Linked DNA regions of Nothobranchius furzeri. The protein of the gene in region 1 purifies or fractionates together with the protein of each later gene. This does not show direct contact. Links are inferred from orthologs where the notes say so. Each region holds a gene or a part of one and is shown in the gene's direction. Other genes may lie near its edges.

What was found.
Region 2: the proteins of mrps27 (region 1) and noa1 purify together in Homo sapiens (co-immunoprecipitation; 3 studies listed by BioGRID and IntAct, counting the BioPlex papers as one, with this or other methods). This does not show direct contact. The link is inferred for Nothobranchius furzeri from reciprocal best matches to the Homo sapiens genes MRPS27 and NOA1.

The regions. Positions count from the first base shown.
Region 1 is NC_091757.1:53,262,813-53,267,268, forward strand, and holds the start of mrps27 (small ribosomal subunit protein mS27), read left to right. Parts: upstream 1-1,539; 5' UTR 1,540-1,614; coding exon 1,615-1,687; intron 1,688-1,833; coding exon 1,834-1,911; intron 1,912-2,885; coding exon 2,886-2,956; intron 2,957-3,053; coding exon 3,054-3,112; intron 3,113-3,437; coding exon 3,438-3,552; intron 3,553-3,907; coding exon 3,908-3,986; intron 3,987-4,456. UniProt on the Homo sapiens protein: RNA-binding component of the mitochondrial small ribosomal subunit (mt-SSU) that plays a role in mitochondrial protein synthesis. Stimulates mitochondrial mRNA translation of subunit components of the mitochondrial electron transport chain.
Region 2 is NC_091741.1:64,625,697-64,629,990, reverse strand, and holds the start of noa1 (nitric oxide-associated protein 1), read left to right. Parts: upstream 1-1,208; 5' UTR 1,209-1,253; coding exon 1,254-1,446; intron 1,447-2,636; coding exon 2,637-3,581; intron 3,582-3,731; coding exon 3,732-3,896; intron 3,897-3,976; coding exon 3,977-4,087; intron 4,088-4,294. UniProt on the Homo sapiens protein: Involved in regulation of mitochondrial protein translation and respiration. Plays a role in mitochondria-mediated cell death. May act as a scaffolding protein or stabilizer of respiratory chain supercomplexes. Binds GTP.

The DNA.
Region 1 (4,456 bases):
TTAAAAATATATTTTTGGAAATATATTTTTTGGAGGGAGAGGTCCTACCTCAAGTGGAGGAGTTTAAGTATCTCGGGGTCTTGTTCACGAGTGAGGGTAGGAGGGATCGGGAGATCGACAGGCGGATTGGTTCGGCGTCTGCAGTGATGCGGACGCTGAGCCGATCTGTCGTGGTGAAGAGGGAGCTGAGCCAGAAAGCCAGGCTCTCGATTTACCGGTCGATCTACGTCCCAATCCTCACCTATGGTCATGAGCTTTGGGTAATGACCGAAAGAACGAGATCGCGGATACAAGCGGTCGACATGAGTTTCCTCCGTAGGGTGGCCGGGCTCAGCCTTAGAGATAGGGTGAGGAGCTCGGGCATTCGGGAGGGACTCGGAGTAGAACCGCTGCTCCTCCGGATCGAAAGGAGTCAGTTGAGGTGGTTTGGGCATCTGGTCAGGATGCCTCCTGGACGCCTCCCTGGGGAGGTGTTTCGGGCGTGTCCTGCCGGCAGGAGGCCCCCGGGTCGACCCAGGACACGTTGGAGAGGTTACATCTCCAATCTGGTCCGGGAACGCCTTGGGGTCCTGCCGGAGGAGCTGGTGGAGGTGGCCGGGGAGAGGACGGTCTGGAGCTCCCTAGTTGGGATGCTGCCCCCGCGACCCGGACCCGGATAAGCGGAGGAAGACGACGACGACGATGTTTGTAGATGGAACCAAAATAATGTTACATCAAAACAATCAACAAAAATTTGCTCAATCGTTTCTCCCTTACAACCACAAAAAGTACAGATGTCAGAGACATTTGGGAAAAAAATACAGATGTTCGCTTTTGACGGGTAATATCTGTGTACAACTTTGAACAAGACTTCTTTTATCTTATTCACAATCATGTATTGGTGAGGAAGCAGAAAGATCCTGTTCCATGGTTTTGCATTCATTAAAGTCCATCGGTGTTTACATATCGGTGTTGATACGGGGTCAATTACTTTTCTAATAACAGAATTATTACATTTCTTATCTGTAATTAAGATCCCAGAAATAGTTGGAGGTCTGACTGCTGCAGATAAGATAATGTTTGATTGTATGGTCTCTGCTAAAGAAAAGATACTAACAGGGATAGATGTTATACTCTTCTTTTGAAGTCTTAATATTATATTTTTCTATGAAGTCTTTGTGCGATAATATTTCACCATTAGTATTTAATAGATTATTCACAGTGTTTACATTACTTAATGACCAATTTTGTAGAAAGGGTGTTTTGTTTTGACATACTATGTGTGTATTGTTCCAAATAATACAATTGTGAGGAGAGAAGTTGTGTTTAAAGATAAGATTCCGACATAACAAAGATTGTTTATGAAAATTACTTAATTTTATTGGGAGTTTTCCTACTGAGAAAGGATATATTAACAAAAAGTTACACCTAAATGTATATTTGTGCACTTTAAAATTAAGAAGAAGAAGAAGAAGAAGAAGAAGAAGAAGAAGAAGAAGAAGAAGAAGAAGAAGAAGAAGAAGAAGAAGAAGAAGAAGAAGTGTCTGATTCGAGGCAGAAGGTGGCGGTATTGTCCCTTTGACCGACAACTGTTACAATCAGAGAAGAAGAACGTACTTCTGTTTCCTGTCAAACATGGCGGCCTCCGTGTTTAATCGATGTGTAAAAGCAGCCTTGAAAGTTAAACGTGTATCTCCGTCTCTTACAGGTAAACGCGCCTTCCTGCAACCTACAGGAAATTTGATAATTCATGTTTTTCCTCTTGGTGTTTCAGAGTTTCAGATTTAGAATAAACCGAACGTGTTCCTGGTTGTTAGTTAACGAGATGCTAAATCGGTTCGTCTTTTTTTGTAGCCAAACGATGGTTGCTGTCTCCAGCTTACACAGACACCAAACTGTGGGAGGCGCGAGAAAAAGACCCACAGAATCTGGGTAAGTTATAAATGAATAATCTAAAAGCCCACCTGGATTGTCTGGATTACGGAGATTACCTGGTCTTTTACAGTGAACAACATTTCAACCGCTTCAAGACTGTCCTCTTCATATGTGTAAAGCATAAGAAAACAACAAGGACATCATGTCAGGTGTTCCACCACCATCTAATAATTGTTAAATTAATATAAAAACTTTACTGAGGATTAACCTGGAACTATAAAATATTTTTTGTCAATAACAAAAACAGTAACTAAGCAGTTACTCCGATAATTGGCACCTATTGACTTTTGTTGTACCTTTGATTAAGATGTAACCCCATTTAATATGCGAACGTCGGATTTATTTATCAAAATTGTGGATATTTTTTGTGTAAAACTCCAATTATGAGACCAAAGTTATTAAAAAGATTTAGTTGAGCCAAAAATGGCAACATTTGTGCAGAAATGGACGGAAGTGGGCTGAAGCTGGTGTCTTTGTTGTTGTTTTTTTCCTATAATTTATTTATTGAGCAGAGACAGTAAATGTAGTTTAATTATTGGATTGTTAAATAAATTAGGTGTATTAGTTTTACTCTTTCTAAAGATGAATACTAAATTTCTTTAAAAGGCAGCGATCAGTAAACATGGATTTAAAGTCAAATGTTCAGTTGCCCGTGTTGATATGTAACACAACATGAATAAATGTTCGATGAAGATTAAATTCTTATGTTTAGTTGATTATTGCCAGCAGCAGGTGTTGCTGCTGTTGTACTGTATGACCACCAGGTGGCACTGCAGCGCCTTGGTGGTGTTAATTGAAAGCTGACAGATATTAAATTAAATTTGCACCTTTGATTTATTTTTTAAACGTAAAATTAATGGATTAAATCCCCATTTTTGTTGAGTCACTTTCTTCATGTCATGTGTTGCAGTCTTTTTATTCTGAATAAACAATGTTTGATTTCTCGTGACCCTAATCTTTCTGACCTCCAGCTGTTCTAGCCGATCTGATGGACCGAACGTACGACAGGAACCTTCCGGTCAGCTCGCTGACCATTTCACGGGTAAGTTGCATTTACATCCAGGTCACTCATTTGCTTTGTGTTTTTTTATATAGCAAACGAAACATTTGAAGTAACCCTTTTTTTCTCTGTGTTTCAGTTTGTTGACAACATATCATCTAAGGAGGAAGTGGACCAAGCGGAGTATTACCTGTATAAGTACGAGGGACCGCTTCTGCTTATTCTGTGTCTGTGCTGAATCTCAGCTGCTCCCTTGTTTCTTGTGTGTTCTTGGACTGCGTTGTCGTTCTGTTTTATGTTCAGTCACACGGTTCTCTTTATCGGAGCCAACTCCAGACCTTTCTTGTTTTCTCCTTCCTCTGGATTCTACACCTCCTCTTGCACTGACTTGTTTTCAATCACACCTTTGTTTAGGGAGTGTTTATTTTAATGATCTAGTGTGAATTTAAACTAGCATAGCATGTAATCTCTTCCTGTGATTGATGAATACAATAATTTTTTATTTTATTTTTTGCATTCTAAGGTTTCGTCATAGTCCGAACTGTTGGTACTTGCGAGATTGGACCATTCACGGTTGGATCAGACAGTGTCTGAAATATGGAAGCCGAGAAAAGGCCCTGCACACTCTTAAGAACAAGGTACACCCCACAAAAGTTTTAATGTAGTTTTTATAAAATGATGATGTAGGCGGTTACTGTAGAGTGCAGATGATGCTCAGGTGAATAACCAGTAAGGAAATGGGTGGATACACTCTAAAAGCTGCAGTTACCCCACAGACGGGTCCAGTGTTACCACTCAAGCACGTATCATGTTTATGAATGAGCTGCTGCATTTCTAAAACTCAAAGATCATGCTTTTATTTGGGTAATAAAACTGATTTGACTGGGGATGCGTCAGAGATGAGATATTCGTATGTCAAATGTGCAAAAAGGATCATTTAAGCTTACACAGATGGTGACCATTATAATGTCGTATATTAAATGTTTCCAACAGGTCCAGTATGGAATATTCCCTGATGACTTCACCTTCAACCTGCTGTTGGATTCTTACATCAAGGATGGAGACTTTAAAAGTGAGTCTGCTCAGAACAAAAGGTCACATGGTACAAACCGCTGCAGGCAAGCACATATTTAGACACAAATGTTCACTTTCACATCTCTAAACTCAAATTCCTGAGCTCTTTGTGTCCGTTTTCCCCCCCAAAAAAACAAGTGAGGAGGAAGTTTGATTATTTTCCTGTTTGATAACAGCAGCCGGTAAACAAAGCAGCATTGTTTAGACTTTGCTTTATCCTTGTAAACAGAGTTTTTGTTTACATTTGTTGGCGGGATTGTTGTAAATGCAGGCAGGGATGATATAAAATTTTCAAAACGGAAAATTAAATCTATTATTACATGACAGGAAAGTGTGTGTGTGTGTGGGGGGGGGGGGGGGGGCATTTGGAATCGTTTAATAAAAGAAGATTAAAAACATCAACGTTAAGAAAACTGAAAGCAGTTTTTCTCAATTGTAGGACATTCGCTGTAGGTACTCTAGCGCAGT
Region 2 (4,294 bases), on another chromosome or scaffold:
CATTTCTATAATGTTGGAATTTTGTCTCTACAGCAGGAAGTTGGTTTAGATAAATACTTTTAAACATTTTATAGATATAGATATGTCTACTTTAGACCTGTTTGAACAAATATATATATATATATATATATATATTTAATTTTCAAATGTGGAGTCCTCTGTTCTACATCCTCTACTCTCCCACCAATTAGCATCACATTACCATCTCATCGGCTCTGATGACCCATTTCCTGATTTTTAACCACCCCACCACTCCAAGAAGAATCTCAAAATTTCCTCTCTGCCTCCTGTCTTCTCAGAGGGTCCGTACTGTTCTACACATTTCCATTCATTCTTGCTGAAACCCTTTTATCGTACATCACACCTGACATGTTTCTCCACCTATTCCTGCTTGAACACGATTCTTCACCTCTTTTCCACACTCTACTTTGGACTATTGAACGTCCCACTCAAAAGCACTCCTGACCCCTGTGACCTTGAGTCCCTCTCATCCACACATGTGCCTTGGTGTATTATCATCATGAACTGTTGACATGTGAATCAAAGTGATACAAATAGTAATAGTATTTTGTACGTTTGCGTAAAAGAATAAAAAATACAAAATTTTGATTTCCTATAAATAAACCTGTAAGATCCAGTTTTCCTTTCACTTGAAATCATCAACGAGCTATGTCATTGTCATGTCAACCCAGTAATAAAACATTGTCCAGACTAATCTCAGCAGAAATCATTCAGATTACACATATCTGCATTGCTGTGTTTCTACAATGACTCTTCTCAGGGCAACACATGAACTGTCAACTGTTTACGTCTTTGAAGGTTTTCAAAGCTCCTTAGACTGTCAACTGTTTAATTTCTAGATCATGAATAATATTCCTACTCTTTGATAATTATGTGTTTTCTTCTGACAGCGCTCTGTTTGTTTTTTCTTTATACTGAATCTGTTATCTCCGTTTGTCTGATTTAAGTCTATTTTAAGTATTTGGACACCAGGATATATGTGTCAGAGTGAGACCTCGTCTCACCGATGTGGGGTCACACTGTTGATTTTCTTCTGGAACTTTTTATCTCTTTCTGTGTGATTATTCATTGTTTATTCGTGGTTACTTAAGTATATAAGTGCATTACTCTTAATTCATTATCCTAAACAATTAATCGTTTAGTAAATAACATCACACCGGAACCAAAACTTGTAACTATTGTGACGTCACCTCCGTCAAGGAAGTCCCTGCTCTACCCAATGTCATGTCGCCATGCTGAGAACGCTTCAGGTGTGTGTCCGTCGTCAGGTGTGGAGGAGCGTCGGTTCCGTGGCCGCTCCGGTTAGAAGGCGGCCGACGCGGGGCCCTGCCCCCGTGACAGGTCGCTCTGTGATCCGGAACGAGGTCCGAAGCTGCACCGTGGATCCAGACCTGGAGGAGCAGTTCGTATTCTTGAACTGTTTAGGTGGGTGACGTTTGTGCTGCACGATGGTGCTGCATCAGAACCCCAAAACGACTTTTATGGTTCGTTAACATGATCTAAATGTCCTGTATGTGTATATGGCGCGGTATGGGGGCCAAAATTAAGACTACTGCCCAGCAGCAGGAGGCTATATAAATTACGAAGCAAACTACCGGATCTGATTAATGATAAGCTGGCACCGGTAACTGAGAGGCTGGCGCTGCTTACTGAGAAATAGCACCTTTACCGGCGTTACTACTAGATACGCTAGGGACTAGCAGCCCTCGGCTTGTCATGACTGGATCACACACTCCCTGTACTGTTTATTAGCATGGATAGGCTAGCATTAGCCTGGACAGGCTGGTGTTAGCATCGGAGAGGCTACCGCGCCTTATTTGTATAGCGCCTTCTGGGGTTCTACAACCCCCCAAGGCGCTTTACAACACAACAGCCATTCATTCATTCACACACACATTCTTCACACACTGGTGGTGATCATTGTAGCCACAGCTGCCTTGGGGCGCACTGACAGAGGTGAGCACTGACACAACCGGTCCCTCCAACCACCCCCAGCAGGCTAGGTGTGTTAAGTGTCTTTTTAACCCTCCCACTGTCCTAATGGGTGTGACCCCGCGAGGAAAGTTGACCATTGAGCAGGATTGATGGTTTATCCCTTGCGGTCCATGTGGCAGGGGTGAGGTGGTGCTCACTCCTCACCCCTGCCACATGGACCTCAAGGGATAAACCATCTACCCTGCTCAATGGTCAACTTTCCTCGCGGGGTCACCTATAAAGACAGTGGGAGGGTTAAAGGACGTAACGACTGCAGCAGACTGGGTGGGACGCGATCTCGCATAAAGCTTAGAAGGGTCCTGAGGGGTGTGGTGATGGAGTACGTGGAGTCTGCTGTAGATGTTAGAGAGAGAAGTTCTTTCAGGTGTGTATGTGTTTTACATTCAGTCAGGGACAGGAAGCCAGTGAGGGAAAGAGACACGTGTGTTCGTGCTTCAGAGCTCTGAAGAGACGGCTCTGCAGTGGTTCCGATGAGGTCCAGTCAGGACAGAGCTGAAACTGATTCAGGATAAGTTGTAAACGTGTCTCAGGTGCTGTTTAGATGAGCCAGTGTGGAACAGGTACAGCAAGGTTTGGATCTGCAGAATCACCTTGAGTTGTTCTTGTCTGTCCTGGTCCAGACCCAGAGAAGGATCCTCATCAGGAGGAAAAGCAGCTTCTCCAACAGCTGACAGACTCCCAGACCTCTAGTGGATCTGGTCCAGATGATCCAGTACCTCCTCAGAAACACCAGAGGGGTTTGGAGCGTCAGCTTCAGGTGTTAAAGGGAGCATCTCTCCAGGAGTCGACACTGGATTCCCTCATTCAGTTCCAGGATGTGGACTTCCCGCTAAATGAGAGCATCATAAAGTCCACAAAAAAGAAGAAAAAGCCAAAAAGTGAACAGAAGATTTTTGGGACTCCGGACCAGGACGTTCCAGTTGGGGACACCTGCTGCTACGGCTGTGGTGCCATTCTGCACTGCTGTGTTCCCAGCCTGCCGGGTTACCTGCCCAGTGAGAAGTACAAGGCGCTGCTGCAGGAGGGGGGTTTAAATGGAGCCACCTGCCAGCGCTGCCACCTCATCACGTACCACCACAAAGCCCTGGATGTGCAGCTGTCCCGGGACCAGTACAGAGAAGTGGTGCAGCAGGTCCGAACCAAGAAGGCTCTGGTGCTGCTCATTGTGGACCTGCTGGACCTGCCTGACTCTATTGTGCCAGACCTGCCTGACCTGGTGGGAACCAACAAGCATGTTGTCGTCCTGGGCAACAAGGTGGACTTGTTGCCAAGAGACTCGCCCAACTACCTGCAGCGCATCAAGAAGCAACTGGGCCAGTACTGTCAGGATTCCGGGTTTGGACCTCAGGTGACCGATATCCATCTGATCAGTGCAAAGACTGGGTATGGGATCGAAACCCTGATCTCCAGCCTGCAGCGCTCCTGGAAGTACAAAGGGGACGTGTACCTGGTGGGAAGCGCCAACGTGGGCAAGTCAACGCTCTTCAACACGCTGCTGGAGTCCGATTACTGCAAGTCCAGAGCTGCTGACGTGATCCATAAAGCCACCATCTCCCCATGGCCTGGTTAGTGCCAGAACCAACTCACATTTCACCTCATTTGTTGCCTCAGATATTTTAATGGTTCTGAACCCAGTCCCTGAGCAGCACAACACATTTCACCAATCAGTCAGTTTTCAAGTTGTCTCCTCTTTCTTCTCACTCTGCTTCCTTCAGGGACCACTCTAAACCTGCTGAAGTTCCCCATCATCAACCCGACTCCGTACAGGATGTTCAGACGCCAGGAGCGCCTGAAAGAGACAAAGCAACAGGAGGAAGCGGAGCTACCACCCAAAGAGCTAAAGAGGCTACAGACGCTCCGTCGACATGGATACTTAGTGGGTAAGAGGGGTGGGGTGGGGTGGGGGGGGGGGCAGGATTACATGAGCCCCTTTTACCTGTTCACCTATCCACCTGTTCAGGTCACGTTGGACGCACATTCCTGCCCAGACAATCCAAAACAGCTGAAATCGAGTTTGACCCGGACAGTTTGGCCTTCAGCGAAGATGACGATGGAAGTTTGACAGCAACCGGTGAGCTGTGATTAGATGGAGAATCTGTGATGTCATCCACTTTGAGCAGCATTATCATGTGACAGTCAGACCATGAGGTGAAGGTGTTAATTGATCAGGTGATTGATAGATTTGTGATCAGCTGATCACAAATCAATATCTTCCACTGATCCTGTTCTTCCTTTAGTTTCCCTGTGTTGAGACCCTCTCTGTCAGGAGGTTCTGAGC